3 linked regions of the Cricetulus griseus genome follow. The protein of the gene in region 3 interacts with the protein of the main gene of each other region in a biochemical or structural test. Links are inferred from orthologs where the notes say so. Each region holds a gene or a part of one and is shown on either strand. Other genes may lie near its edges.

Region 1 (10,283 bases), on a different chromosome or scaffold from region 3:
TACCTAGCACCACATACAGCTAGCCCTGATGAGTGTCTCCATAATCATGATCAGTAACTATAGAACCCAGAAAAGCTGTTGATATATAACATACTGATATTATTTTTTTAATATAAATAAATAAAATTTGGTTTTTAGAAATTTTAGCTGCTGTCGAAAAGTATTCCGTTTAGTGTGTTAACAGCCACATGGGTCTAGAAATGCTAAACGTACTTTTTCTCCATTTGTACAAATATACATACTGTATTAACTAGAGTTGATTATAGAAACTAATGGAAAACAACATGGGCATGTTAGCACATACCTGTAATCCCAGCACTTGGGATGTAGAAGAGATGGTGTATGTGTGTGTGAAGTTCAAAGCCTGCTATATTGTGAATTTAATTATAATTCATTTAGCTCTATTAACAGAAATACTGGTTTTTGAGAGTTTTCCTTATTAAAAACACTGAAAGGGACACACAACTATCATTTTGCTTTTTTTAAAAAATTTTTTACTTATTTTTATAAGTATGTGCATTGATGTTTTGCCTGCATGTATGTCTGCATGAGAGCATCCAGTCTCCAGGGACTGGAGCTACAGTAGTAAACTGCCATGTGGGTGCTGGGAATTGAACCACTAGCCATCTTCCCAGCCCCCACAACTATCATTTTAACTGGAGGTAGAGTTACTGTATCAAAAAACTGACTGACAGACCAAGTCACTTCCAGGAAGAACATGCTAAGTGGCCAAGACCCTTTCAGCAGCCTTACTACCTTGTTTTCAGTGGTGGATCATTAGTGCCATCTATAAATGACAATCTGCACATTAGCAACAAGGTCATTACCTTTGTATGTTACATGTCTACACATAAACCCCTTTCCTCTAAATCATCCATTCTATGACATATTCACTTTTAATTGGGAAAGGAATAATGACATGTGTCTTAGGGTTTCTACTGCTGTAAAGAGACACCATGACCACAGCAACTCTTACAAGGAAACATTTTTTAATAATTTATTTTTATTTTATGCACATTGGTGTTTTGCCTGCATTTATATCTGTGTGAAGGTGTTGGATCCCCTGGAACAGGAGGTACAGACAGTTGTGAGCTGCCATGTGGGTGCTGGGAATTGAACCAGGGTCCTCCCGAAGAAAAGCCAGTGCTCTTAACTGCTAAGCCATCTCTCCAGCCCCACAAGGAAAACATTTAATCAGGGTGGCTTGCTTACAGTTTCAGAGGTTCAGTCTATTACCATCATGGTGGAGAGCATGGCACATGCAGGCAGATGTGGTATGGGAGAAGTAGCTGAGAGTCCTACAACTTGCAGGCAACAAGATGTCGACTGAGACACTGGGTGGTATCCTGAGGACAGGAAATCCCACAGCCCACCCCCACAGTGACACCTCCTCCAATAAGGCCATATTCACTCAAAAAAAAAAAAAAAAAAAAAAAAAAAAAAGCCACACCTCCTAGCAGTGCTGTTCCTTACAAGATTATGGGGACCAACTACATTCAAACTGCCACATTGGTAAAAACAATATATATGTATTATAGTAACATTCCATCTTAAAAACAAAACTATACAATGTCCTCCCATATTAGCATCCTGGAATATGGTTTAGAATAGATCACACAGTAAAAATTATGAAACTGGTCACAGTTGGCACACACTTGTAATCATAAAATCCCTGGGAGGAGGTAGAGATAGGAAAGTCAATACATTTAAGGACAGACTTAGGTTTGAAGAGAGTTCAGGAGACTCAAAAACATCACCTTAAAGTTTTTAATTTTTCTCTCCCTTTTAAATGATTGCATTTCTTTGTGTATATATGTGCACATACGTTTGCATGCTACAGGTATGTCTGTTGTGATCAGAATCAGTTCTCTCCCTCTCCATACTTTCAAATGACACAAACTATGTAAAAACAACCAAATTCTGGGTGTGTGGCTCAGTGGTACAGCGCTTCCTTATCAAGAGATAAGGCTCTGAGGATCCTAAACAAGGATTTTTACACAACGATACTGGTAAGAACATTATTTTTCAAAAAAAGGTAATTGTTTACTCATTTTTTAATGTATATGCATACATGTGCATCACAAGTGTGCATGCAGGTGCCCTTCAGAGTCCAGAAGAGGACATCAGATCACCTGGAACTGGAGTTACAGATGGTTGTGAGCTGCCATGTGGGTCCTGAGAATTGAACCCAGCTCTTCTTAAAGAGCAACCAGTGTCCCCAACCTTTGATCCATCGCTCCAGCATCGAAGAACATCATTTAATAGGATCTCCTATATCTCAATGCCAGAGAAACCTGTATCTCATGTATCTAAAAATGATTTCCTTCTGCCCAACCTCACACCTGAATGTACCACTATTAAAAGCAGAGGAATTCAGGTTTACAGTCTAAGTACCAGCTACCTGGCTTTCTAATCAAGCTCAGCTGCACCATGGCCCATTTCCTTACTTTGAAGCTACTATATACAGGGATAGGGGCATAGCTGAGTAGCGAGAACACTTGCTGGACACTATCAGTAGCATAGATTGCAAAAAGAATATCCTACTTACATAATTTCTCTAAGCTGCATTTAAATGCACACAGGTTAAAGAAGTCTATCTATGTCAATACATACAGGGTGATGGAACACAAATAATAAAACCTAGAGACAGACATGGGGTTCAAGCTGAAGATCAGAAAAGCAAAGCAGCCAAACCACTAGTTCTTACCTCTATCCCAGGCTGAAATGGGTGATCCTGTCTCCTCTAATTCTCAAAGTACAATGCTCTCCCTGTCTAAAAACTAAGTCTCACATGAAATCCTTTGTGTCTTCCTTTTATACCTCCCTAATGCTGGGATTAAAGGGGTGAGCTTTGTTATTCTTTTTGGCTGATTCACTCTCCTGTAGCCCAGGGTGGTCTTGGACTCACAGAGATCCACCTGTCTCCTGAGTCCTGGTATTAAAGGTGTGCACCACCACTGTCGTCTGGCCTCTATGGCTAGCTAGTATGGTTGCTGGGATTAAAGGTGTATATCACCACTGCCTGGTTCTATGGCTGTGGCTAGCTTTGCATTTTGATCCCAATGGCTTTACTAGATCATAAATAATATATCAATACAGGGAAAGAAGTGGTTATGATGGAATTCTCTCAGGTATCAAATCTGTCAGGTTTTTTGCTGTTGTTTTGAGACATGGTGTCAAAGTCCAGGCTTGCCTTGAATTTGTGGTGATTCCCCTGCTTCAGTTTTCCTGAGTGCTGGGATTGTAGCTGTGTACTACCCTGCCTGACTCTGCCCCAGCTTATAAACAGAAAATACTATGCAGAGGTGTTTGGAGGATGCCTTCATTTCTAAAGGACTGGGGACCAGGAAGGAGACAGGGGCACCTGCAGGAGCCATCACAATCCCAGAGATACACTAGTGAAGTGGTCAGTGCTCACCTGCTGCTGGGGTTTGCTCTACACAGCCTACTGATCTTTATGCAATGTGCTTAGGCTCTGGGTCAACCTAATGAAGACTCATCATCTTGATGTGGGCAGTATTATGGGCTAAATTATGTCCCTGCAAAAATTAGGACACAATGAAGTCCTAATTCCCAGTACCTCAGTTTACACACTCTAAAGTAAATCAAAGTGAGCATTCATCTGTTATCACCGATTCTGGAGGGAACAGGGGGCAAGGGCAGCACAAAGCTCACACACAAGACACACTGCTTTCCAAGATTTAACCTGATAATGTACTAAGATTTGTGTCTTTGCATCACATGGGCTGCACTTCTGAGAATACCATAATCTAGTCAGACAAATTCCTGTTATAGTTGGGCTGTTTGAAGCCCACCTCGGTAAGTTTCATTAATTAGAGCAGCATACTAAATATATTAATAGTCACTATCCAAATTCTTTCATTCTACTCCCAAAACTAAATGCCCTAAAACAGACAAATACATCTTTTTTGTTTTGTTTATCGAGACAGGGCTTCTCTGTGAAACAGTTCTGGCTCTCCTGGAACTCAGAAATCCACCTGCCCCTGCCTCCTAGTCTTGGGATTAAACGTGTGCACCACCATGCTCAGCCTTCAGCTTCCTTTCTTATTCCAGAAACAACTGCCTAGAAGTGGCTTAGCCCTTAATAAGCTGGGCACTTACCCATCAATCACTAATCAAGTAAATGCCCCACAGAATTGCCTATAGGATAGGCATTTTCACAACTGAGGTTCCCCTTTCTAAGGTGACTCTCACTTGCACCAAGTTGACAAAAAAACTAAGCAGCACAATTACAGTAGTTTAAATGAAAAGTATCCTCCACAGTTGCAGGCATTTGCACACTTGGCCCCCATGTGTTGGTGGGTTGTTTTGGGGGGGGTGGGATGAGGGGATGCAGCCTTGCTGAAGGAAGAATGTCACTGGAGGCAGGCTTTCAGATTAATACCCTCCAACACTTCCAGGTAGCTCTCATTACTTCAAGCTTTCTATTGAAGATGTAAGCACTCAGCGTCCTGCTATTACCATTTCTCCCCTCCACGATGGACTCATTCCTTTGTAATTGCAAGCCTAAAAAAACCCCTTCTAATGGTGTGTTATCACAGCCACAGGAAATAACTAATGCAAACCCTAAAAGGCAATAGTCAGGCCACCTGACCCACAGGTGTGATTCTAAATAATGTACTTTCCCTCTCCAACCTTTACTTTTCTCATGTGGAATACAGTTAACAGGCACCAGTTATTGCACGCAAAGCACTGAGCTGGCCACTGTGAACACACAGCCATCTGAACTCTCTATGACAACTCCAAGGTATGTGTATTAGACCTGGAGCAGTCAGAGATATTACCTTTCACCCACAGTTCCTTCACAGGTGCAAAGCAAGGTACCTGGCAGTTCATGTTGTCCTCTGCTTCAATGAGCTTCCCTCGATACACCTCGCCAGTGTTGGTCTCACAAGTTACGATGTGGCCCTCAGCCTCGTGCAAGACTTTAATCGGCACACCGATAGACATCTTGGCAGGAGTGTTCCTGTGGAAGAGAGAGACAACAGCTGTCTTTCAGAGCTTAAGAAGGACTGGCATACCATACCCTTTGCAAATATGTCAGAGCTGCATTTTCTTTCTTTCTTTCTTTCTTTTTTTTTTTTTATTCTGAGACAGCGTTTCTCTATGGCTTTGGAGGCTGTCCTGGAACTAGCTCTTGTAGACCAGGATGGCCTCAAACTCACAGAGATCCGCCTGCCTCTGCCTCACGAGTGCTGGGATTAAAGGTGTGAGCCACCACCACCGCCCGGCCTAAGCTGCATTTTCTGTGGAAGGAGTCTGACTCTTGGTTTGAAGGAACCACCATGGCAAGGACACACTGCCTTCGAGCTGGGAAGGATGGCAAGCAAGCTGGACAGAAGAGGCTGGTGGGAATGAAGAGTGCCTCTTATCTATTCCCAAACACATGACCCTTTATAGTCACCCAAGAACTATGATATGGACCTCAAAAGCAATCACTGCTTACCTGTAGCTATTCAACTGAAATATAAATTAAAAAGCCCCTCCCCTCCCAGTCACACTAGTAATATTCCAAGTGCTCAGCAGACATAGACCCTGATAAGATAGCAAGGCGTTCACAAAGTGACAGGAAATGCTCACAGGAGCACCATCAGGGTCGACGCTCGATTTAAGCCTCAGTAAAAGACGGAGGCTAAGCGCAACTGTGATGAGCGTTCCCACCTATGTCCATGAGAAGGCTATAAGGATGCTGGGCGCTGTCTCTCTTGGTGAGGAACCACGGCTTTCAACTTAAGGAGTGTGAGTTTTATGCTGAAAACGGTGGAGGGGGGGGGACACAAAAGGGTCATTGCCAAAGGCTCAGTAGAAAACAAAAAGGAATAATAGCAGCATCTGCAGGATAGCTCGAACATGGCCCTTCTGCAGCACAGCGACTCGCTAAGACTCGTGCAGCAGTCGTGGAAGGCAGGGGAGGGCCAGCGCCGGAATCCGAGGGGAGCAGGGATGCAGAGGACGCTGAAAAGGAGGGCACACAGGGAAAGGGGGTATTTCGTGAGAAACGACTGCGGGCGAGCTCCGAAAATCGGCGAGCCGGAAAGGCACAGAACGCGCAGACAGGCGTAAACGAGGAGCTGCTCCAAGCGCGGGTGAGACGGTGTTTGGATCGGCCCAGGCTTCCCGCCCGCCATTAGTGCCCCGCTGAGCTCCTCCGCAGGCTCCCTTCCTGCCCCTAACCCTCCGGGGACGCCTAGGCCTCCTCTTACCGGTTCTCCGCCTCTCCTCACCGGCTCCCTTTCGGCCCTGGCACAAACGTTACACGGCGAAGGCGTGAAGCGAGGGAATGGCGGGCCCGGGGTACCCAGAATACCACGCGTTCCCAGGATACCGCGCGCAGGGCCCCTCCTCTTCCTTTCCCCAGCGGCGAGAGCGCTCTGACGTATGCTTCCTCCTTAACTCCGCCGGCTCGGAAAACGACGGCTCTGGCATTATCGTTCCGGCCCTGGAGAGGACCCGGGGGGCCGCCGGAAGCATCCGTCCTCGAGCCCCAAAAGGAACATGGAGACCCCCCCCCCACTTACAAAGTACTCCAGGGACGGATTGGGCGGGAGCTAGGCTGGAGCCCCAAAATTGCTGTGGTGCCACAGGAAGTGAGGCTTGGACTAGGAATCTAAGCTTTGGATCTGGTCGCCATCAGGTAAGCGGCGCACCGAGCGTGGGAAACTGGCATTTTTCATCGTGTGGCTAAGACCGAAAGGGAGGCAGAGGAGGATTCCCGGGGCGTTTCGATGAGGCAGGCACTGCGAGGGGCCGGCGCTAACACCCGGGGCTGCAAAGGAGCAAGCCGAGCGGAGGGGGTTTGGGAGGAGCCAACGTCGCTATGGAAGGGCCTGGGGGCGGGGCCCGGGAGGGGCGGGGCTTCCGCAGAAGGCGGGCCCTGCGGGTCGCTCTTTATGGGAGAGAAGTGGGTGGGCGAGGAGGCGTGGCCTAGGGGAGGGGCGGGTCTCCAGGCCGGGGACCTGGCAGGGACGAGGCGGGGCTTGAGGCGGCCTAGCCCCCGCCCACCCGGCTCTGAACCGCGGAGGCGGCGGCGGCGGCGGGCGGCGGTGGCGGCGGCGGCGGGAGGAGGAGGAGGAGGAGGAGGAGAGGCGGCGGCGGAACTCTCCCCACACTGGCCGCGCTCGCTGCCCAGCACAAGTCGCAGCTGCGATCAGCTCCAGGCCGGGGCCATGGGCGCCCTGCGCCACCCGGGTCATGAGGACGGAGGCAGAGGCAGCGGGGCAGCCGCTCGAGCCCGGTCAGTGCCTCTCAGAGGGCCTTGCCCTCACCGGGGAAACCGAGGGGGACTCCGCCCTGGAGCTGGGCAGGGTCTGGCCGCGCGACCTTGGGCCGCAGGCGGCCTCAGCCCAGACTGGAGCTTCCAGTGGACCTTAGCTAGGTGGATGGATATTCCTTCTCGTCTCCCGTCCTCCGCTTCTGGTTGTTTCTCGGGGAGTTCTGAGAGCAGTCAAGTGCAAAAGTCCGAGGGGGCAAAGGCACTGCCTTCCCCAGAAACGAATGGTCCTGCTTGAACCCCGTTGCGTGATGCTGTTCCTAGGGGGAACTGTGGAAGGCCTGGGGCTGTGAAGGGGGAAAGAACGGCCTGAGATCCCTCAGCAAAGGGAAGGGCCTTTTTTTTTTTTTTTTTTTTTTTTTTTTAATCTGGCTTCCCAAACGCAGCGCTTTTGTCTTAGTACTCTTCTCTCTCTGGTTCCCTCCGCCCCGAGGAAACCCGAACCCCTTTGCTTGCTCAAGAAGTGGGGAAAGTTGGAAGTCATGGTGGAGCTCTGCTTGGGGCACAAGAGTTGATATATTAATAAGCTGTTGTGGCGTGCTGCTATCTCATGGGAAGGGTCAAGGGGTTTGGGGCCTGAGCCCTTCCTTAAGTGTCAATTGGAGAGTAACACCACTTTCGGGGAATGGTTCCTTCTGGTGGTAGGCTGGAGCAGGGCTTGGACCTACCCTGGGATTTACATTTTTACTCCTCCAGTTATCTAACTGTGAACTTTGATAAGATCGTTGCCCTTTCTTAGCCTCAGCAAATAATGGCTCACTTGTGTCGAGCTAAGAGGTAGATACAGTGGTAAAGTGTTTATAGATGGTATAGGATTAATTTTCATAAATCCCGGTGAAGTAGGCTACTGCTGTTATTTGTACTTTTTGAGGTGAGCAGGCTGAGGCTGAGAGGGATAATGTGTCCAGGGAGAGTTGACTGCTTTCCTTCACTAGGGACAACCAGACAACTGAAGCCAGGCCACAAACAAAGCAGACCCTAGTTTTCAGGTAGGGTCACTTCTTGGCTTCAGACATCAATATCAGCAGCAGTTTTGAAGTCTAAATGCTAAAGCTGTTATCTGGACAAATACCAAGGCCTCTCCTACACTTATCACCTGCTTCCAGAAAACATCTTGCCTGTGCCAAGATCAGGATAGCCAAGTAGGGATATTTGCCTCGTGAGGCCTCAGGATCTAGGGGTTCTAAGGCTGAGTGAAGTGGGGGAGGGGGGAAAGAGAGAGAGAGAGAGAGAGAGAGAGAGAGATCGCTGAGTTTCTTAGGACCCTGAAGAGCAACCTTCCTAGCCCACATTTTATAACAGTATAAGAGAAGACATGGCCCCAACTAATTAGAACCAGAGTGCAGGCCACAGAGAGAAGAGGGAGTATCCAACAAAGGGTTGTGATCTGGAAGCCTAGAACTAATAGGCTCTGTAGTGACAAGGAGGCATTTCAAGGGGTAGAGCTTTAAAACAAACCTATTCAACAGCATAGAATAATGCTAGCTATGGGTAAAGTCTGGGAAGAGGCAAATGCAACCTTGACCCTACCTGCCTATTACAGAATTCTCAGGCCCACCAGGGAGAAAGCAGATGCCCCCTCTATGAGCCTGATGTGAGGGGGGAGGGGGAGGGGGAGGGGCAGAACATTTGGATGTCAGAGGTGAGAAAGCCACATTCCAGATCATTGGTTAGATAAAAACAAGATCCAGGTAGTAATCAGCTTGAGTAGATCAGAGCAAAAAGGGCATTTACAGCCTCAGTGAGGATTCTGGAAAGGGAAGACACCTATCTTGATAGCGCCTCATTCTGCAGAGAGTTTTCCATCAGTGTATTGAGAGAGAACGGTTTGAGTCTCTGGAGACTGAGGTTTACATCACCTTGGTTTGCCTGAAGCCTCTCACACAGCTCATCGTTCCTTCAGTAAGTGACTTTTTTTTCCTTCCTTTTTTTTAAACTTGTAGCACCGGGGATTGAACCTCGGTCCCTGACAATGCTACGCCCCCAGCCTCAAGTAATATGATGGGTCACTACTAAGCATTAGCTACTAGACAAGGAAACAGCAGACAAAACCAGCAAGTTACCTGGTGTCTTTGTTTATTTTCTCATAATTCTGGAGGCTGAGAATTCTAAGATCAGGGTGCTGGTAAGTTCAGTACAAGATCCATCCATTTCTTATAGCCAACTCTCTCTGGCTATGCCCACATGACAGGGAGAGAGGAAAGAAAGAGAACTTGCACAGCAGAGTATCAGAAGGATAAAAAGAAAAAGGCCTATGACTGTTAGCTTGCTTTTTCTTCTTTACTTCTTCTAAGATTTTGATTATAAAGTTTTGTGTGGCTCGAGTGTTTTGTCTGCATGTGTGTCCATGCAGGTGCCCTCAGAGGCTAGAAGAGGATGCCAGAACCCCTTGAACTGGAGTTACAGACAGCTGTAAGCCGTTGTGTATGTGCCTGGAACAGAACTGAGCCTGGGTCCTTTGCAAAAGCATCAAGTACTCTAACTGCTGAGCCATCTCCAGCTTCTTAGTTTTGTCAACATGATATAATCTATAATCACGTGGGGAAAGAGCCTTAGTAAGAATTGTCTAGGTTAGACTGGGCTGTTGGTTTGCCTATGAGGGATTTTCTTAATGGGTTAATTGAACTGGGGAGACTCACCCTGAACATGGGCAGCTCTGTTTCCTGGGCTGGGCCCCAGACTGACACAAAGGGGAAAAGGGCTCTCCAAAAGCACACGTGTATTCTTGCCATCTGTTCCTGATTTTGGATGTGGTATGACTGGCTGTCTCCTACTACTGTGGCTTTCCAGACATGATGATGTAACCTGGAATTGTGAGCTAAATTAAACCCTTCCCCCCCTACGTTACTTTTGTCAAGGGGTTCATCGCAGCAGCTGGCAAGGAGACTTAAGACACAGCCTAAGTTATTTTTCCTGGCCCTTTATAAGGCACAAGTTCAGAGACTCCATGACTGAATGGCTTCCCTAAAGACCCAACTTCTTATTTAAAGAC
Region 2 (10,518 bases), on a different chromosome or scaffold from region 3:
TGGGAGCTTGGGGGAAGCCCCTGGCTATGTAGCTAATGTAAGGGTCATTTAGACTACTAGCCACCTGCGGTTCTGGTTGTGGAGACTTGATATGGCCTGGCCCAATAGATAAACAGGTTTTCCGTCCTTCCCCTAGAAAGGACAATCCTGCATGCCTAACATTTCTGGCTTCTCTGGTGATCTGTAAGTGCAAGATCTTCACACTCCCACACACAAGGGCCTTCACACTCCCTGTAAACACACAAGGGCCTTCACACTCCCTATACATACACAAGGACCTTCACACTCCCCCACACAAGGACCTTTAATTTCTTACTTGTTTGCCTGTTTGCCTTGAGACAAACAGGCCCTGGCCGGCCTGAAAGGCCACTTTGAGTTGGAACTCAAGAGATCTGCTTGCCTCTGCCTTCCAGTGCTGGAAGTGTGCGTCACCATACCCAACCTTTTACTTTAAATACTTATGTTAACAAATTTCTCATAAAGTTTGGTTCCTTCTCCAAAAGTCACCTGACCCTCCTCCAGAGGGAAAAGAAGTCATGGACAAGTAAGTTAGGAGATTCCACTGGGCCACTCACTCACCTTGAGGAGTCGGAAGATCAGCCTTTGCTGCATCTTAGAAAGAACAGGAAATCCCTTCTTGTTGGTTAGGAAAATGCTGGTGGGGAGGATGGCTGCTTTGATGGGCTCTCCAAGCCAGCGGTCAATGACGTGATTAGATGGGAGGTCAGCCCCAATTTCAAGAGCTACACAAACAAGAAAAAGGCCTATCACCTGCTGTTAGGCAGGCAGCCCTGTCTTACTGGGTACAAGCGTTTTCCTTCTGTTGAAAACTGGTGGTTGAGCCCAGGGAAAGCAGCCAAAATACCCAGTACACACACAGAACTCATTTCTTTGTCCCCTTTTTCAGACAGGTTCTCACTGTATAGTCTTGGATGGCTTCGAACTCACAGAGCTCCACCTCTCGTTTGGGGATTAAAGGTGCATGAAAATAGAATGGTCAGTGCTAGTTCTATTTTCAGAGTGGGTCTCAAGTAGCCCAGTAAGTACTGAAACTTCCTGTGAACTTCTGATACTCCTAAGTGCTGGGATTTCAGGCATGTGCCATTACTCATGTGTGCTATGGATCTTACTTAGGGCTTCATGTATACAGGCAAGCCAAGTGCTCTGCCAATTGCCTTACATCATCCCCCCCCCAAATTGTTGATCTTCCTTTTTTTTTTTTTTTAGATTTATAGATTCTCTTTATTTATGTGCATGTATGTGCAGTTACCCATGGAGGCCAGAAGAAGTCATCAAATCCTCGGGAGCCAGAGTAAATATGCAGTTGTGAGCCCATCAATGTGGGTGCTGGTATCTGAACTCTGGTCCTCACAATAGAGCTCTCAACTGAGCCATTGCTCCAGGCCTGAAATTACTGGATTTTTTGTTTGTTTGTTCTGAGACAGGGTTTCTCTGTGTAACAGCCCTAGCTATCCTAGAACTACTAGCTCTGTAGATCATATTGGCCTTGAACCCACAGGTATCTGCCTACCTCTGCTTCTCAAGTTCCTGTATTATTAAAGGCTGGAACTACCACCACCTGGCTGTTTTTGTTTTAAAACAAAACAACCACAGTCTCTCTATGTAGCCCTGACTGTTCTGGAACTTTCTAAACTGAAATTCTTATTTTTGGTTTTTGTTTTCCAAGACAGGGTCACTCTGTGTAGCCTTGGCTGTCCTGGAACTCTGTAAACCAGCCTGGCCGCAAACCCATAGAGATCTGTCTGCCTCTGCCTCCCAAGTGCTGGGATTAAAGGCGTGTACCACCACCACCGATTGGCTATTTGGGGGTTTTGCTTTGTTTTGTGAGATAGAGTCTGTCTACATAATTCTGGCCATCCTCGAACTCACTAAGTAGACCAGGCTAGCCTTGAATTCAAAAAGATCTACTGGACTCTGATTCCCAAGCCCTGGGATGAAAAGTGGTGGGCCACCGCACCCAGCCTGCTGATTCTTACTCTTACGGGGTTCCTCCTATCCCAGGACCCTTGTGCACTTACCTACTGCAATTCTCTTGCTATAATCACACAGAGTCCTGAAGTTATGCCACCTGCCCAGATTCAGAAACAAAACACTGTCAAATGCATATGGCTTATGACTCAAGGAGCTCTTCTACCAGTTCCTCAATATTCCTTACCCCACCCCATACAGGTAAAGCGCCAAGAGGAGACATACCACATCCACGTCTTCTCTTCCCCACTGTACTCCTCTGTGTGTGTAGTTGGGACATTCTCAATGACATCATCTCTCAGGTCCTCTGGAGCCACCAAGGGCACCCTCATCCAGAACTGCATATGAACAGTTACCATTAGTTAGAACACTGTTTTCAACTAATTGGGTCCAGAAAGCTTCCCTCAAAAGATCTTGATCCAGATCTCAAGTTAATCTCTTTATATGCCCTTCTGAATTTGATTACATCCGTGTTTAATATCTTATACACATCCTTATGCAAATACCTCCCTTGTCTTTTATTTTAGCTAGAAACAAGCATTTTCTATGATTTGGCATTGTTTTATAGTGCTAAGACTCTTACCCAGAGGCTCATGTATGTTAGGCAAGTGATTACCACTGAGCTGCACCTCTAAGCCCATAGATTCTGCTTGAAGCTCTCTCCATGCCACTTCAAAATTGGGGGTTGGGTGGGATGGGCAGTACTGACATTTCAATTCGGCCAAAAGCACTGGGGCATAACTAGGCAAAAGTCACTTCACACAGCTGACTATCATGATACTCAGCAGCACAGAAGCCTACCATGGAAGAGTGGTGGCCAGTATGGATGTGGTTGGTCAAAACTCTGGCCAGGTTTGTGTTATCTTCCTGATTCAGGGGCAACAGAAAAGCTGGAAGACCCAGATATGCCCCGAAATTCAGCTCCTGTAACATAGCCTGAAACACATGGAAAGAAAAAGCCATTAAGAACTAGGAACCAAATACTTCCTGGGTAGAGAGGAGTTTAAACTGGATCTGGTATTGTGGCCCAGGCTGTCAGGAATTCCCTATGTAACTCAATTTGGCCTTGAATTGGAGGCAATCCTCCTCACTCAGCCTCCACAGTCCTGGAACCCAGCTTTGTAGACCAGGCTGGCCTCGAACTTAGAGATCCGCCTGCCTCTGCCTCCCAAGTGCTGGGATTAAATGCGGATGCCACTACTGCTCAGTTATTTTTGTCTTTTTGAGACAGGGTCTGTCTACATAGTCCTGACTATCCTAGAACTATGTAGACCAGGCTAGTCTTGAACTCAAACTATTTTTTTTTTTTTTTGTTTTGAAGAGGGCAACAGGATCATATGCTCACTTCAGCAGCACATACATTAAAACTGGAATGAAATAGGGTCTTAGTATGTAGCCCTGACAGGCCGGGAACTCTCTCTCTGTAGACCAAGCTGGCATCCAACTCAGTTCGAGGATGGCCTCTGCTGAGTTACAGATGTGAGTCACCACACCCAGGGTCAGACTCTTAACTGTACTCTGATTTACCAGGTTCTGGGGAGTGGGAGTTACTCTCCTAACCCAATTTGATGACAGAACTAATTTCTTTCCTTTTTTCCCACCCTCCTTTTCTTTTCTGGCTTGGAACTCTCAATCCTCCCTCATTATCTTCCGGTGTGGAATGCCTCCCCAACACTGAGGTTACAGGTAGGGGTGGGTCACAGCACCTAGGTCAGACCTAGGTCAGAGCCAGGCGTTGGTGGCGCAGGCCTTTAATCCCAGCACTTGGGAGGCAGAGGCAGTCGGATCTCTGTGAATTCAAGGCCAGCCTGATCTCCAAAGCGAGTGCCAGGATAGGCTCCAAAGCTACACAGAGAAACCCTGTCTCGAAAAAAAAACCAAAAAAAAAAAAAAAAAAGGACCCCACAGAAAAACCAAACAGCCTTACCGCTTCAGAGTTCCTTCGGATCCTCTCCACTTTGGAGTCTGGACGAATCCACGGAGAAAGCTTTCCCACAATTAGCGTATTCCAGTCTGCACTCCCCCACCCAAGAAAAGACAAAGACTCAATGAGGTCTGGCATTTTCTTGCTCAATTTCTAGTTCTCAGCAGGAAATAGAGTAGAGATGAAAACAAGCCTTTTTCTCTCAGATACAGGGATAGCCTGAAGAATGGGGGAGTTACCTATATCACAGGGGTTAGCCAGTACAACCAAGTCAGAAAAGGAGGGAATTGAAGACCTATAAAGCAGAAGTTATTACTGCCTCTAACAATCAAGGGGCACACGGGATGGTCCCTACCCCTTCCTGACAGCAGTAGGTCTGATCGTGTCTGGGGGCCAGGTCGATTCTTAGCAGGTTCCTGAGTGAACTCCCTCTTGAAACGCGGGTGGAAGACAGGCATGCAGAGGAAATCAAACCTACAACCGCGACAGACTCAGAATTATCATGGAAAGTGAGGACCCAGAGATCAACCAACTGGGTTTAAACTATCTTGATTTTGCACAGTTCTATAAAGCCATCAGTCACCCCCCGGGGCTACTGAGTTCAGCCCATCTTGGGACATTTAACTTTCTCTGCACTGTGCATCAATTTCTTCCCAAAACATAGCCATGAAAGATGACTGAGAAAAGAAGGACATCCAAGGCAAATAGCATTCTTTCTTCCCTGATAACACTGGCTTTCCAGGGCTATCAAATCCAGATTTGTCCCAATACTGCCATGCCTCCCCCAGCCAGATTAACCTCTTCTCTCGTTTGCCCCCTTAAAATACTTCTTTCTCCTCTCAAATAATCTTAGCCTCCAAGGCCCTAGACGGACTGACTCGCGTCCCGCCTTTAATTTACCCAACAACTCCCCTGACTTTTGAACTCGGTGACCACACGCCTCCCAGAGTTTCATCCTCTCGTTCCTGGAACCGAAGTCGTCCCCACTCAAGGAGTAATGGTGTCTCCAGCCCTCATCCCCTGCGGGGAACTAGTCTGCCCTCCTTGGTCCCCAATTTGGATCCCGCATTCCTCACCCCTGCTTGGCCACAGCACCCAGTGTGTCAGCTATTTCGGGGACGCAATTCAGGTCCCTCCCGCTGGACACGCGGCTGCCACCGGCACCTCCGACTGCCATCGCCGCCATCTTTTCCCTCGCGCGGCCCACGCCGGGATTCCTTGCTACTAGGGACCAATCACAACGCCGAGAGCAGTCCCCGGGAGGCGGGACAAGTCGCCTTAACAACCAGAGCGTCTTCGCAGCTCCCGAGCGGAGGCGGAGGGACCGAGCGGCCGCTCCCGCCAATCCACAGGCCGCACCGTGACGTAGGCGTGGCTCCCCGGCTCGACCAATGACAGGCCGTCACTGCTGAGGCTCTGCAATCTCCCAGAATGCCGCATCCGTCTGAAGCACTCCGGAGAAAGACTACAGGTCCCATGCAACCCTGCAGTTAGCCTGAAGTACTATCATTGGGCTACCACAAAATGTCTGCGGGCCAGTGGCGCAATGGATAACGCGTCTGACTACGGATCAGAAGATTCCAGGTTCGACTCCTGGCTGGCTCGTTGGGACTGGTACTCCTTTATTTGCATCCCTTGCTAACCCAGTGTTCCTAAACCCCACTAGTCCTGTAACGTTTTGCTCTTGTCTCACAACCGCTGTACTTCCTTCACTATCTGCTTACGCTGTCATTTCCAGGTCTTAACCTGGTTCGGTATTTCAGCCATCCCATGCTGGCGTGTCTCATTCCTCTTTTCAAAGCTGTTTCTTGTATAATTAAGTGAATCTGAGCATGAAAATTTCGGTGAATGGACTATTAAGATGAGCTTTGTCTCATTACTATGCTTAAAAAATACTACACTTAAAAAATACTCTGTAGTAACTTAGCCACTAATTCCTAGTGATTCTGTCTCAAGCACAGATGTAAAGAAACACCTGCCCGCGCGCGCACCCCTCAGAGAAAAGGAATTCATGAGCGATTACAGTGCCCAGGAGTCATGAAACTGCCTCGCGGAGGGCCGAGAGAACCTACGTTTCCCCCTGTCAACAGCTGGAAAAGAAGGAAATGGCACAGGCAAGGAAGAACCTCGGAAGGGAACGGGAAACACGTACCTGAGGCAAGAAGCCCACAGACGTTGAGGACCCTCCAGGCCAATCTGTGGAGGCATTTTCTCAGCTGAAGTTCCCTCTGCCTTGTGTCAGCTTTGACAAAACAAACAAACAAACAAATAAACAAAAAAGTTAAAAGGCACTGACAGAATTCAGGGACTCGGTAGCAAGGAACCGGGAGGGGGAAATAGTAATGCCACGCAGCAGCGTTTTGCCCTTGAAGTGGGAGAGTTCAGGGAGAATCGGATTTGGGGTTCGGGGTGCAGACTGGCCATCCAGAGAGCGCCGTGTGATAGAGAGCTGCAGGGACAATGATCTGAACCACACGTATTTGGACGTTTCCAGACAGGAGTCTTGACTAGTGAGGTCACCATGGATTATGGAGGACAGTGCTCTTAGCAACACAGGAAGGCGTGGAGAAAATAGGCTCTAAGGAACCCTGGGTAACGTAAGTCCCCCCCACCCCGCACCCCAAGAACAGCCAGGAAACCAGAAAACCAAGAAAATTCACAATGAGGGGTTGAGGATGCTTTTGTACCACCACCACCACCCACCCATCACACCAACAACAGCAACCCATCACACCACCTTCACCACCACCACCACCAACCCATCACACCACCTTCACCAACAACAACAACCCATCACACCACCACCACCATCACACCACCCCACCACCCCCACCAACAACCACCCCACCCCACTCCCACCTTCACCACACCACCATCACCACCACACCCCCCACCCCCACTCCCACCCCCACCTTCACCACCACACCCCCCACCCCCACCTTCACCCCACCCACCCCCACCCCCCACCCCCCACCCCCCCTTTTGCTGCTCCCGGATCTTTGTTTTTGTTTTTTGGGGTTTTTTTTTTTTTTTTTCGAGACAGGGTTTCTCTGTGGCTTTGGAGGCTGTCCTGCCACTCGCTCTGGAGACCAGGCTGGTCTGGAACTCACAGAGATCCGCCTGCCTCTGCCAACCGAGTGCTGGGATTAAAGGCATGCACCACCAACGCCCGGCTTGCTTCTCTGGGATCTTATGCAGGATACCACATCACATTTAGTCGAATGTGTCCTTAGGCTCCAGTTGACTGTGACTATCTCTCAGATGTTCTTTGTTCCTAATGATTGTTACTTCTGATGATGTTAAAATGCCCTTCTGTTGGAACTTGTCTCATGTTTTTCTTTTGATTAAACTGGGAAAGAAAGCAGGGCGCTGGTGACACATGCCTTTAATCCCAGCACTCGGGAGGCAGAGGCAGGTGGATATCTGTGAGTTTGAGACCAGCCTGGTCTACAAGAGCAAGTGGCTCCACCGATGACAATTTTCCATGCTATACTTTTTGGAAGGATTCCACTCTGCACCGCCCTGCCCACGCCACGGGATTGGAGAACTACAGGGCCTCTCCTGTAGGGGGCAGAATTTATTTACAATTCTCCCTGCAGATCTTTCCAGTGGATGTCTGTGGGAAGTGAATCTGCCCACAATCCACGAGATAAAAACACTGTTAAGGAAGGGATATGTGATAGGTAGGGTTTTAGTTGGTGGGGGTGGTAGGGGAGGACAGGAGGGAGAGGAAACTGGGATTGTCATGTAAAACAATCTTATTTCTAATTCAAATTTTAAAAGATTTGCGCGCACACACACACACACACACACACACACACACACACACACACACACACACACACACAAACGCTGTTAAGGAGGGTTCCTGTCTCTGCCTCAGCTGTGCCCAGCAAACTGCATCCAGCAAAGTCTTGGTAGGTGTTTGTTCTTTCAGAAGCTAAATGTCTAGTTGTGGACCGTCTGTGTTTCTGGGTCTCACTCCTGACAACAAGGTAGTGGTTGTTCCATTGGCTGTTAAAAATCCATAGGTGAGAGGGAAAGAAGGAAAGCCTGTGAAACACTGTGTTTTCACTAGTTAAAATACTTTTCAAGAGTATGGACATCTATCGGGCTGGATTTCTTCCCTCTATGTTGTCTTTGTTCTTCGTTAAAACTGGCTTTGGCCACCTACTGGGTATGATGCCAAGCAGTTCCTGGGAATTCTGTCACACACTACTCCTGCTGTCTCCCACATCCTTTTCCTGTGTCACTTGGAAGGGGGAAAAGCATGTAACTACAGGTTTGTGTATAGCAAGAAGGGAAAGACTGAGAGAAAAAGAATAGAGAGTTCAGGTCAGTGAAATGCTCTGTGGGTAAAGCACTCACTCACCACACAAGCCTGGTGACCCAGAACCTTACTAAAGAGGAAGAACAGACTCCCAAAAGTCGTCCTCTGACCTCAAAAGCTACAGATCTCAGCTGTACAACAGGACGGGGGCTTTGCTGGGATGAAGACAGGCATGGAAGAAGACCAAATAGTCTAGGTAAGAAATAAGGGTGCAGTGGGCGAGGCCAGCCTGGTCTACAGTTTCAGGGCAGCCAGGGAAACACAGAGAAACACTATCTTGAAAAACCAATAAATAAGCAAATAAATACATGTAAATAATAATAAATAAACTTACTTTTCTGGTAGACATTAATGACAATGGAGCAGAGCATTAGAGACTTTTGGGAAGGGGAGGGGAGGGAGAGATGCTCACTCCCAGATAATGCTCTCCCTGCTGCTAGTTATTCCCTGTCTTCAGGCTCAGCTTTATTTGGCTGAGTTTCTGTCTTTGTTTAAACACCTCCTGTCAGTCTTATTGGTTGTGCTGGCCTTCCTGAGACCCTCCTTTACTCATCTCTGCAACCACCCCGCCTTCGCTCACCCCTGCACCAGCTTGGTCAGCAGCCCTCTTCAACACCTACACAACGGCCGGCTTGACCCTCCCACTGCTCCAAATTGCTTCTTTACAATCAGAGCTTTCCTCTGACTATGAAAGTGGCAGGGTTACTGAGGCAAAATAATCTGTGCCGATTTGCATTTTCTTCCTTGTCATCTCTATTATACACTATTAATCTGCCATGACAAATAGGAAGCAGGGACTGTTCTAAACATAGAAAAAGATAGAAAGCTGCCCAATTTATGTATGAAGCAAAAACATACCCAGTATCAAAAACTGTCAAAGGCGGGCACCCAAGACGGCTCTAGACCACTTCTATCTTATGGACATAAAACTCCGGAGTTATTTAGAATTACTAAAATCAATATATTGCTGTAGTGATTATATAATACAGCCAAATAGTGCTTATCCCAAAAATTAATACAAAATTTGGTATTAGGATATGATATAATACATATATATTCTTGTTGAGACCTGGCACTGGGAAGGGACTCAGGAGGCTAAGGCAGGGGAGTTGCCTTGAGTTTAAGGCCACCCTGGGCTACAGTATGAAACCCTGCCACCCTGCATCTCACACACACACACACACACACACACACACACACACACACACACACACGTTTCTACATGATGGCAAGAGGCCAGGGCTGTAGCTCAGTTGGTAGAGAGCCCTAGCATGAACAAAGACTCAGCCTCTGCTCCTAGCACACCATAAACAGAGCATGGTGGCAGGTACAGCAACCTCAACACTCAGGAGGCAGAGGCAAGGGGATCAGGAGTTCAAAGTCATTCTCCACTGCAAAGCAAATTTGAGAGCAGCCTGGGATACATGAAATATTGCCTCAAAAACAACAACAAAAAAAAAAAAACAGGGTGTTGTGTATATTCACCTGTGTATTGGCACACATGTGTGTGTGGAGACCAGGGGCTGGTGTGGGGTGTCTTCCTCAGTAACTCTCCACTGTATGTATTGAGGCACAGATTTTTGCTTGAGTGAGGTTGTTGAAGGATTTCCTGTCTCTGCCTGCAGAGTGCTAGGGTCACAGGCAGGCTGCCATACCCCCAGATTCTGTGTGGGTGAGGATCTGAACTCTGCCCCTTACATCTGCAGGACAGCCAGCTCCTCAGCCTTCAATCACAATTCTAAGGGAGCCTTTTGTTAGCTGATTTATTTTTAAAGGTTTTGCCACTCAAGAATGAGGACATGAGCCGGGCAGTGGTGGCTCTCGCCTTTAATCCCAGCACTCGGGAGGCAGAGGCAGGCGGATCTCTGTGAGTTCGAGACCAGCCTGGTCTACAAGAGCTAGTTCCAGGACAGCCTCCAAAGCCACAGAGAAACCCTGTCTCAAAAAAAAAAAAAAAAAAAAAAAAAGAATGAGAACATGAGTTTGATCCCAAGTAGGGGAGAATCAACAAGTTGTCCTCTGACCTCCACACATGTGACTGAGCACTCAGACACAGACACACAAATGCTTTGAAATATGATAAGAATAACAAGTCAGCCTGGTGATATTGACCACCTTTAATTCCAGCATTCAGGAGAAAGAGGCAGGTGGATCTCTGTGAGTTTGAGGCCAGCTTAATCTACAAAGAGAGTTCCAGGACAGCCAGGGTTGTTTCAAGACAGAGAAACCCTGTCTTGAAAAACCTAAATAAATAAATTGTATTTATTAAGTGTTG
Region 3 (10,457 bases):
TGTTTTGTTTTTGACTGCAAGCTAGCAAATCTGTCAGTACTTGAAATTCCAACTCTAAACTACAGATTAACATTTATGTAAAGAATGTCAATCAGGATTTCACTTAATGGAATAATTGCTGGCTTATGATGGTAAGAAAATCGTCAGTTATATTCACAATTTGAGATTTTTAAACAAATCAGCTAAGAATCAGTCCCCGATGGCCTTTTGTTAATGTTTTTATTTAATGTGTATGGGCGCTTTGTCTCCATGTATACCTGTTTACCATGTACATGCATGATGCCCTTGGAGGTTAGAAGAGGACATTAGATCCCCTCAACTGAACTGTTGTGAACCACTACATAGGTTCTGGGAATTGAACCTGGTTCCTCTGGAAGAGCAGCCAGTGCTCTTAACTGCTGGACCATCACTCCAAACCACAGCTCAAACAATTCATTGATTCTTAGCTGAGCATGGGGCTAGAACATAGCTCTTAACTTTCATCTTAGATTAAGAGACCAGAGGATGATTTCTTTAAAAATCTAAGATTTAATTCACTAAATAATGATCATTTAGTAGAAGTGGAATTATAATAAAACTATTTTAATGAAATTAAATGTTAACAGTTAGGACCCTTCTGGATGAGGTAAATGCTTACGAAATTTTGACTGAGTTCTGTATGATTACTAAAGTCCAAATGACAATCAAAGAGAAAGAACATTAAGAGGATATGACCTACGAACACAACATTAATGCATACAGTCATATCCCATAGGAAAAGTTAGAACCTACAATACATGTCCACAGTATAGGCCACCTTCCCTACTCAGTAACACTTTCCCATTTCAGAGCCACTTGACTTAAGTTTCTATCTTCCTTTCTAGCCTGACTCCAAGAAGACTTTTTGTAGCAACCCCCTGTATATAATACGTCCTTTACCGGGTAGCCTTCCTATCATCTTTCCGTCTTTCCTGTCTCAGTTCTGTCCCTGATTTCCATTCTGAATATTCCTATGAGATGTCCTTCCTTCAAGGTTGAAAAAAAAAAATGCGTCTGTTCCCATTTAATGTCTTCTAGTTATTTTTTGCTTGATTTTCAGTATTTAAAATAAACAGATCATGGAACTGTTAAACTGAATTTAGAAGTTCTTACAAAAATGAAACTAGTTTCTAAGAGAAATTCCAAGAAACCAACAGGCTTTATGGCAACAATTGAATACATAATCACAAACAACAGTTACAGACAGCTGACATAACAGCACTCAGGAGACATAGGTAGGGGGATCACAAGTTGGAGGCCAGCCTGGGCTACACAATAAGTGCTAGAAGTCCTCAGCAAGTCACATTTTCTCACCTTTAATTTTAACTGTAAATGGGCATAACAACTACCCTGCCTACCCTCACAAAATTACTATAAAGGAGATAATGGGTGAGGAAATCATTCTTTTAAAAAGTAAAACACTGTACAAATTTAAGTGCCTACTATTTATGCTATCCACAGGGATTTTTATGAGGAGCAAAAAATATAACCCTTGCTCTTCCAGTACTTGATGCTGGTCTGTTTGTCACATTTGCTTAACCACCTCCTCTGGCTGGCACTATGAGTTCAAGGGTTCCTTCACAGAGCTAACATCCCTTTCCTCAGTTACCATCTTAAATAAAATGTTTTGCCATTGAGCTATCATTCTGTAAAAATGACTAAGACAAGTTAAGAAATTATTACACTGGTTTTAGCCAGTTTTCACGTGTCATACATGGGGATTCCATTTCTGAGCAAAGCATTGGTGGTTTCATCAAATGTCTTAGGGCAAACCTCGAATTAATTGTTTCTCAAACGTATTTTTTTTTTTTTTTTTAAAGTACTGGGGACGCAACTCAGAGCCTCACATATACTAGGCTAGTAGTTCTGCCTGAACTCTGTTACCTTGGAACCTACTCTGGAAACCTTTCTGAATTCTCCGACTTAGAAATAAATAAATAAGCCTACACCTACTCAAGTTTTGAAAGTGGAAATTTAAAAATGATATTTAACCTCTTCTTTTTGACTATTCTCGTCTACACGTCTACACCTTCACAAGCTTTTCCTCTCACTCTATATCAAAAGTATGAGGATTTTAACCTTCGACGAGCTCTAGATGACTCTTTTGTCACCCCTCACCCTTACTGCCATCTTCTCACCTATACCAGGGCCACACCTTCTCCTTCCTGTTCGGTGCTTCTCTCTCCTAGTCTGCTACCAACAAACTAACCAGTCTCAGGACTGGAGAGATGGGTCAGCCTGTGGGAGAGCCTAAGGCTTTTGTGGAGGACCCAGATGGGTTCACAGCATCCACTGCCTGTGATGAGCTCTGGAGGAATCCAATGCTCTCTTCTGGATTCTGTGGTCGTCTGCACTCACACGTACACACACACACACACACACACACACACACACACACACACAGTTAAAAAGTAAAAATAAATCTTAAGAAAACATCTCCACACTAAAGACTCCTCTGTTGAAAAGATACCAAGAAGAAAAAACAGGGGAAAAAAAAAAGAAAAACAAAACTCTTAAGACAATCTATATGTTTTGTCATCCAACCTAAACAGCCCTAAACCCATAGCTATTACAACTTTTTTAAAATGGTTTTTCAAGACAGGGTTTCTCTGTGTAACAGTGCTGGCAGTCCTAGAACTCATTTTGTAGACAAGGCTGGCCTAAAACTCAATGAGATCCACCAGCCTCTGCCTCCCAAATGCTGGGGTTAAAGGCATGCACCATCACCGCTCACCCGGCTGCTGTGACAATTTTATAGTTAAAAAAAAAAAAAAAATGAAGCCTAGAGATTGGCTGACTGAATTCCATCCTCTGGGTCTCTCATTTCTAAACTCTAGCTTGTGAGTTTAATGCCTCAGCTCTCATGTGTAAAACGGAGTCAGTTAATAGAAAACTTGTTCTTATTATTTATCATAAAGAAAAAAATATGAATTAAGCAGATGTGGTGATGCTTGCCTGTAACAGTACTTGTAGCCAGAGTAGGGTGCATGTGGATAAAAACAACAAACAACAAGAATCCATGAAGAAATGAGAGTGGTAAAGTGCTTACGCTGTGTGGCACATAGCCGTCGGCTACGGGTGTCTATTTACTAAGTCTTCACTGCTCTTTCTTTGGGGCCTAGAAGTTCCCGATCAATGGCTGCCTTTCCCCTCGGCGCTGTCTTTGGACTGTCTCGCCGCCCTTTCGTTCAGGTAATGTAACCTCTTTGCGCTGCTGTGGCGTGGCACGTGGGGATGGGGCGCTATGAGGCCTAAGACGGAGGTCTGGTGAATGGCTGTGTGAACCGGTGAGATCAGGCCCGATGAGGCGGGAGCAGGAAGAACCGCGCATCCAACCGGGGGACTTCTGACCTCCAGATGAGTGTGGACTCTATTTCCCGTGCGTCCTCCTAGGCCCGTTCCGGGTTTTGTTTTGGAAGGCACAGTATTCCTTAAACATACTCTCTCAGGGATTGCTGTGACGACCTACAAATAGAACCACAGCGAAAAACACTGTTATTCTAAGCCTCCTCAGAGGGGCGGGGCGGGGCGGGCGGGGTGGGGCGGGGCTGGCGGGGCGGGCGGGGCCGCGAGTGGGGGTGGGTGGAAAGACCCATATCACGTGACAAAAGCCAGCCGGGTCCTCACGGACCTCCGGCGTCTAGACCGTCCCATCTCTATGGTCAACGGCTCGCCGAACCCAGCGGGGAGGAAGTTGTTCTTCCGGGATAGCGCTACTGCTTCCGGGCCTGCTCATGTGGCCTGGGGTTGTGGTGCTCCGCGTCTAGGATCGTGCGGAGGGAGCTAAGAATTCACCCGCAATGAGCTTCCTCAAAAGCTTCCCGCCGCCTACGTCGGAAGACGGGCTCCGGCTGCAGCAGCCAGACACCGAGGCTGTGCTGAACGGGAAGGGTCTCGGCTCCGGGACCCTTTACATTGCGGAGAGGTAGGGTCCCCGGGCTCCGGCGCTGGCCTCCTTCGGGGGCTCCTTCCTCCCTTAGGCACGACCTCGGGGCTGCTGCGGGGAGCGGGGAGCGACGCTACGAGTATGGTGGTTGAGAGGGCTCCCCTCTCCCGATCCCACCTGGCTCTGTTCTCTAGACGGTGTTTCTCCTTAACGACTTGTGCTTTTTACCGGCCTGTCTTCTGGAGCCTGGCGCGTGGTCACGTTTAGAGTTTTGAGTCTGCAGAGCCTATGTTAGTTCTCGATGTGCCTGGCTTTCTTAATAATCGTGTGAGCTACCTGTTTTTACCTGCGTAAGATATGTGAGTTCAGTGTAGATTGTGAAGGGTTTGGGACCTTTGGTTAATGAGCATGGATTTTTCTGCTCAAGGTGTGGGTGGGGAAAAAGAGCATCTTCAGGCCCACGCAGGGCGGGGTCATAACCAGCCGGCCCTGACTCCGGTCCTGGAAGGAATCTTACTGTTGTTTGACTACAGCGCTTTGTACTTTCACAATAAGGTAGACACGTCACTGGAACACACACTCTCTCTCTCTCTCTCTCTCTCTCTCTCTCTCTCTCTCTCTCTCTCTCCTCTCTCTCTCTCTCTCCTCTCTCTCTCCTCCCCCCTTCCTGTCCTTCAGAGTGTCTGATTTACCTTCTGCTATATTTCATTTGTCCTCCACGGAGTACATCCTCTGCTTTTAAAAGCTCGTGTTATAATATTGGGCCTGACTAGAAAATCCAGGCTAGTCCCCTTATTTCACCATCAGCTGATTGTCACCACAGGGGCCGAGAGAGAGAGAGAGAGAGAGAGAGAGAGAGAGAGAGAGAGAGAGAGAGACAGAGAGAGAAGGTATTAGAATGACTTACAGGGTATGGTCCAGCTAATCCAACAATGGCTGCCAATGAATGGAAATTTCAAGAATCCAGAAGTTGCTCAGTCCAAGAGGCTGGGTCTCTCAGCAGATCTTCAGTGGATGCTGGAATCCCATTTCAAGATCAGTATTAAAGTCTTTCTGCCTCAAGATCCAGATTAGAAGTGGATTTTCCAATGGGTGCTGGTGCTGCATGCCTTTAATCCCGGCACTAGGGAGGCAAAGGCAGATCTCTGTGAGTTCAAGGGCAGCCTGGTCTTCGGAGAGAGTGCCAGGACAGCCTCCAAAGCTGCACAGAGAAACCCTATCTCGAAAAACAAACAAAAAAGTTACTTTTGAGCTTAGAAACAATGCCTCTTTGCATGTCATTCCAAAATTAATTTTAAACCAATTAAGGTCAGGGTCTCTTACTTTTCTGTACTGTTTTCAACTCTTCACCAGAATTAAAAGATACTGCTTGTCCTTATTCATAAGTGTCAGAGTTTAACAAAACATTTTTCAACTGGTGTTTACTACTCTTTTAGTTCTTGTATTTGCATTTATGACATTTTGTTTTGTTTTTTATGACTGGTCATAGTTAATTGTATATCTTGGTTTTGGAGTACTTCTAGAATCTGTGACAAGAGACAAAGCAGGGTTAGAACTTAAGTCAAATAAGTATTGCTTGCAAGTGCCACATCCATTCTTCATGAGCCTCTCAGAGGAGCACTGTGCAGAGACAAAATGCTGTCATTCTTAGGGGCTAGATAATGATTTCAGCCTCTAAACCAAAGGCCATAATTTGCTAGACACTGATTTGATTTAGATGCTAACTTTTCCACTGCCCGGTGGAGTTAATAAAGGTTTTGTGGCTCTGAATATTTGAAATTATTTTGGATGGGTAAATCTGAATGTTCCATTCTAAATTGTGGTCATGTCAAGAGATTTTGGAGGTGAGAAAGGAAACATAGTTTGCTAGGTCTATTCTCAGTACCCATGAGCACTGTTTCATTCCCACATTAGAGAAGAGCTGTGTGTGGGAAGGGAGGATATGTGCAGCACACAGTCAGTTACATAAGAAATCTGTTCCGTTACAAGCAGTAGGGACGAAATAATTCCTCAAACTATTTTTTCCCCCTGAGATAGGGTTTCTTTGTGTAACAGCCCTAGCTGTCCTGGAACTCACTTGCTCTGTAGACCAGGCTGGCCTCGAACTCACAGAGATCTGCCTGCTTCTGCCTTCCTAGTGCTGGGATTAAAGGTATTTGTCACTCACTACCTAGTTATTTTGAGACCTGGATTCTGTGTAGCCTAGACTGGCCTGGCATTCATTATGTGGCTCAGGTTAGCCTTGAACTTAACAGCAGTTGTCCTATAGCAGTCTCCAGAGCGCTTGTATTATACCTGTGATCCATGGTCAGCTTGTCAGAACTGTATGGAAAGTAGGGTGAGGCTGAGTATGGGGGCACAGGCTTGTAATTCCAGCACTTGCCATGTGGAGTCAGGAAGAGCAAGAGGAGAGTCTAGAGTTTGTGATTATGGCTGGGCAGGGTGGAGCAGGTCTTTAATCCCAGCACTGGAGGCAAAGGCAGGCAGATCTCAGTGAGTTCTGAGAGTCAAGCCTATTTAGAGACCTTGTCTCCAAGAGGGGAAAAGGATCATGGCCAACCTGGGCAACAAGCTAACATGAGCTAAATGTCAAAGCTGGAGGAATGGGGAGGGAGGGAGGAAGAGAATAAGGAGGAAGAAATTGGAGAGGGTACAGGATATGCATATGTTCTGCAGAGGTATGTCCCTATTCCTTTAATTTCTGTTTTAAGTTTTAATTAGTATACAGTAGTTGTATAAAAAATGACTTTTATTAGGATATTCCCTTTTAAAGTAGCATTATTGACATGGTTTCCATGCCATACAACTTATTCATTTCATTCATAGAAGTTAATGGTTTTTATTATGCACTTTTATCTTCACTCAGTCTTAGAACATTTTGTTGTAGCCCCCCAAACAAACAAACAAACAAAAAACCCAATGCTCATTTTAGTAGTTGTTCCCTGTTTCCTTTCAGCTCTGAAAATGTTTTTGTGGCTTTTTTGGGATCTTGCCTCCTGCCAAGGTCTTTTCACTGGTTTTTTCTAGATTGTACAATTCATGTGGGAGAAATACTGCCAAGAAAAATTAGGCATCATCTGTTAAAATTCAACCTACTAACTTTGGTGATATGTTTCCTTTGTTATACCATTAAAATATTTGTGCACTTTTAAGGGGAAAGTGTTTTGTGGCTTTTTGTTTTTCTTTGTTTTTAAAAATGTTATTTTATTTGCATGGTATTTTGCCTGCATGTTTGTCAGTGTATCATGTGTGTCCCAGGTGCCTGTCAAGGCCAGAAGAGGGTGTCAGATCTCCTGCAGCTGGAATTACAGATCATTGTGAGCTTGGAATGTGGGTGTTTGGAATCGAACCTGAGTCTTCTGGAAGTGTTCTTAACCACTGAGCTGTGTCTCCAGCCCCTGTAGCTTTTTCTTAAAGCTGGTAATAAATGGGAACTTTTATCTTGTCTCCTAAGGTAATAGTAAATTTTTTTTTGAATTGTGATTGCAATCACATCTGTTTTGTATATATATCATTTAATATATGAGGTGTGGAAAGGTTGATGACCATTTATCTTGCATGCTTACCTACGAAGAACTGTGCTAACATTTTTGAAGAATGTTGAATAAAGGGATGGAAGTAACAGAGTACAAACATGGTTCATTAGCCTACTTAGTGCTAATGTGTGTTACCAAGCACAAGTGAAGTTTGGAACAGAAGTGGTCCTTGTAAAAAGGAGGTCTCATGGAGTTATTGGGGACTTGACTAGGTGAAAAGATCTGTACAGCAAAGAGGGTAATGGAGACATTCTAAACAAGAATGAGCACAAGAAACAAGCACAGGGAAGGGGCTGAGAGCTGCTCTTTCAGAGGACCGTAGCTATATTACCAGTACCCACATGGAGTGTCGACAGTCTCCCTTACCTTCAGCTCCAGGGGATCTGATGCTCTCTCGGCATCCACCAGTATCCACATGCATGTACACATAGTGGAGAAATAAACACGGATGACTTGCCTCTCAATTCTGTTTGAATTTATATTTAGAGGGAAAAAAACATAAAAGAAAAAATTCAGTTCTTGTTACAAAATTTTCTTATTTTAAGGAGTATTTCTAATATTGTCAATAAATTTGAATTTCTTTCCATGCATAAAAGTGTCCTGGTTGAACATTTATATATTTTGGAATATTAAGTTATGATTTAATTTTTAAAAATAATGTGCCTAAACCATGTTTTTCAGCCGCCTGTCTTGGTTAGATGGTTCTGGATTAGGATTCTCACTGGAATACCCCACGATTAGTTTACATGCTGTTTCCAGGGACCCAAATGCTTATCCTCGAGAGCATTTGTATGTTATGGTGAATGCCAAATTTGGAGGTATGTATGGTGTAATGTAATGTAGTGCTTCCTCTGATAGCAAAGTATATTTTAAGGGACAGTGTTTGTTTTGAGATGAAGTCTGACAGATTAGTTGCTGTCAGTCCTGAACTCCTGGGCTTGAGTAACTGTCCTCATCCTCCCAGATACTGACATTTTAGGTGTGCCACTTTACCAATCTAAAAAGCAATCTTTGATGATGTAAATTTTAATCCAGTGACCCACATTGCATAATATCATATTAAGCAAAATTAAATTACCTAAAATAATTTGGCCATTTGAATTTCTTCTAATGGGAATTGGGTTTGTGTATATCTGCCTTTTATTTCCTATATATTTTTACTTAGAACTCTTCTATTAATATGAATATATTTCTTTTTTTTTTAAAGATTTATTTATTTATCATGTATACAATGTTCTGCCTACATGTATGCCTACAGGCCAGAAGAGGGCACCAGATATCATCATTACAGATGGTTGAGTCACCCTGGGAATTGAACTCAGGACCTCTGGAAGAGCAGCCAGTGCTCTTTACCTCTGAGCCATCTCTCCAGCCCAATATTAATATATTTCTACTTTTTGTTTTAACTGCTTATTCTTTCTCCTTCTAAAGGCACTTCAGAGATGTGAACCAGTATATTTTGTCTATACAGAAATTTATTGTTTTTATTTATTTAGTTTACCGATGTATATGCAAGTGGGGGTTAGTGCCTGCATTTATGTCTGTGTACTGTTTGCGACTGATGCCAGAAGATACCAGAAGAGGGTGTAAAATCCCCTAGAAACTGAGTTACAGACTATGTGTATGTGTTTGTCTGTGTGAATGTATGTGTGTGGATGCTTGCAGAGACCAGAAGAGGACGTTGGATTCCTTGGAGCTGGAGTTACAGGAAGTTTTAGGCTAAACAATATGGATTTCGGAAACTGAACTTATAGAGCAGTGTATTAGCTACTTTTCTATTGCTGTGCCAAAATACCATGACCAGCAACTAAAGAAAAGAGTGACTAATTGGGCTAATGTTCCAGAGAGGCAGACGCTATGATGGTGGAGCAAGGCAGGCAGCAGGGACAGCCCAGAGCTCACATCTCAAACCACAAGCAGAGGCAGAGACACACACTGGAAATGGCAGGGGTTTTTTGAAACCTCAAAGCCTATCCCCAGTAACACACCTCTTCCGATAAGGCTACACCTCGTAATCCTTCCCAAATAGTTCCTCTAACTGAGGACCAAGTATTTAAACAGATGAACTTATGGGGGCCATTCTCATTCAAAGCACCCCAAGAAACAAACACTCTTAACCATTGAGCTATCTCTCTAGGCCCATAATTGTTTTTATTTTGTTATGGTGGTGATTCTCAATAGATGGGTAAGGAGAATTTTTTGTGCTGCCAGTGGTTGGTGAAATTATAATTGGAGGAGGAGGGATGCTACTGGCATCTAATAGATGCCAAATTCCCTGCAACAAAAATTATGTAGTGCAAAAACGTCAGTAGTCTAGAATTTCAGAACCTTTGAATTACAAGGTTCCCAAGTTTTAGTGTGCAAAAAAATATAATTAAGTTGTTAAGATAATGGATAGTTTTTTTCTGAAATCTTGTATAACGGACAGTCCCATTAGTTTGTTCCTGACACCTTCCAGTTGGGGTTTTCTCTTGGTTCCAGATCTAATCATTTTTATTTAGTTGTGAACACTAGTTGCTAGTTTTTAGAACTCTGGCAAGCCATGTGTTATTTAATGATATTGACTAATCCAGCTATCCAAAAATATTCTCACTATAAGACTTTAAATACTTGCTGTTGGAAAGGGTTCAAAGGTAGATTAAAAAGTAATAGATTTGAGCCAGGCAGTGGTGGTGTATGCCTTTGATCCCAGCACTCGGGAGACAGAGGCAGGAGAATCTCTGTGAGTTCAAGACCAGCCTGGTCTGCAAGAGCTAGTTCTAGGACAGCTTCCAAAGCTACACAGGGAAACCCTGTCTAGAAAAACCAAAAGTAAAATAAAATAAGAGATTTGAAAAAGGATAAAGAAATGTTAAAAGTTCTTAGATATTGGAGTATAGCATGACTTCCTAATGAGGTATTAAGCACAAAGTTCACTTGGTTGACAGAAGGAGAGGGATTGTATGTATGTATGTATGTATGTATGTATGTATGTGGCTCACAGTTTCAGAGATATTTCAGTCCATCTTAGTGGAGAA

What was found.
Region 1: the proteins of Clns1a (region 3) and Snrpd3 form a complex in vitro, tested with the Homo sapiens proteins (2 studies listed by BioGRID). The link is inferred for Cricetulus griseus from reciprocal best matches to the Homo sapiens genes CLNS1A and SNRPD3.
Region 2: the proteins of Clns1a (region 3) and Prmt5 form a complex in vitro, tested with the Homo sapiens proteins (5 studies listed by BioGRID and IntAct, with this or other methods). The link is inferred for Cricetulus griseus from reciprocal best matches to the Homo sapiens genes CLNS1A and PRMT5.

What each region holds. Positions count from the first base shown.
Region 1 is NW_023276806.1:263,059,801-263,070,083, forward strand, and holds the start of Snrpd3 (small nuclear ribonucleoprotein Sm D3), read right to left. Parts: upstream 6,379-10,283; 5' UTR 6,225-6,378; intron 4,988-6,224; 5' UTR 4,972-4,987; coding exon 4,846-4,971; intron 1-4,845. Other genes in the region: protein GUCD1, read left to right, coding at 7,213-7,255. UniProt on the Homo sapiens protein: Plays a role in pre-mRNA splicing as a core component of the spliceosomal U1, U2, U4 and U5 small nuclear ribonucleoproteins (snRNPs), the building blocks of the spliceosome.
Region 2 is NW_023276807.1:209,731,736-209,742,253, forward strand, and holds the start of Prmt5 (protein arginine N-methyltransferase 5), read right to left. Parts: upstream 5,146-10,518; 5' UTR 5,100-5,145; coding exon 4,990-5,099; intron 4,388-4,989; coding exon 4,269-4,387; intron 4,003-4,268; coding exon 3,917-4,002; intron 2,926-3,916; coding exon 2,791-2,925; intron 2,328-2,790; coding exon 2,215-2,327; intron 2,090-2,214; coding exon 2,040-2,089; intron 744-2,039; coding exon 580-743; intron 1-579. UniProt on the Homo sapiens protein: Arginine methyltransferase that can both catalyze the formation of omega-N monomethylarginine (MMA) and symmetrical dimethylarginine (sDMA), with a preference for the formation of MMA.
Region 3 is NC_048596.1:101,793,087-101,803,543, reverse strand, and holds the start of Clns1a (methylosome subunit pICln), read left to right. Parts: upstream 1-3,728; 5' UTR 3,729-3,818; coding exon 3,819-3,943; intron 3,944-8,121; coding exon 8,122-8,258; intron 8,259-10,457. UniProt on the Homo sapiens protein: Involved in both the assembly of spliceosomal snRNPs and the methylation of Sm proteins.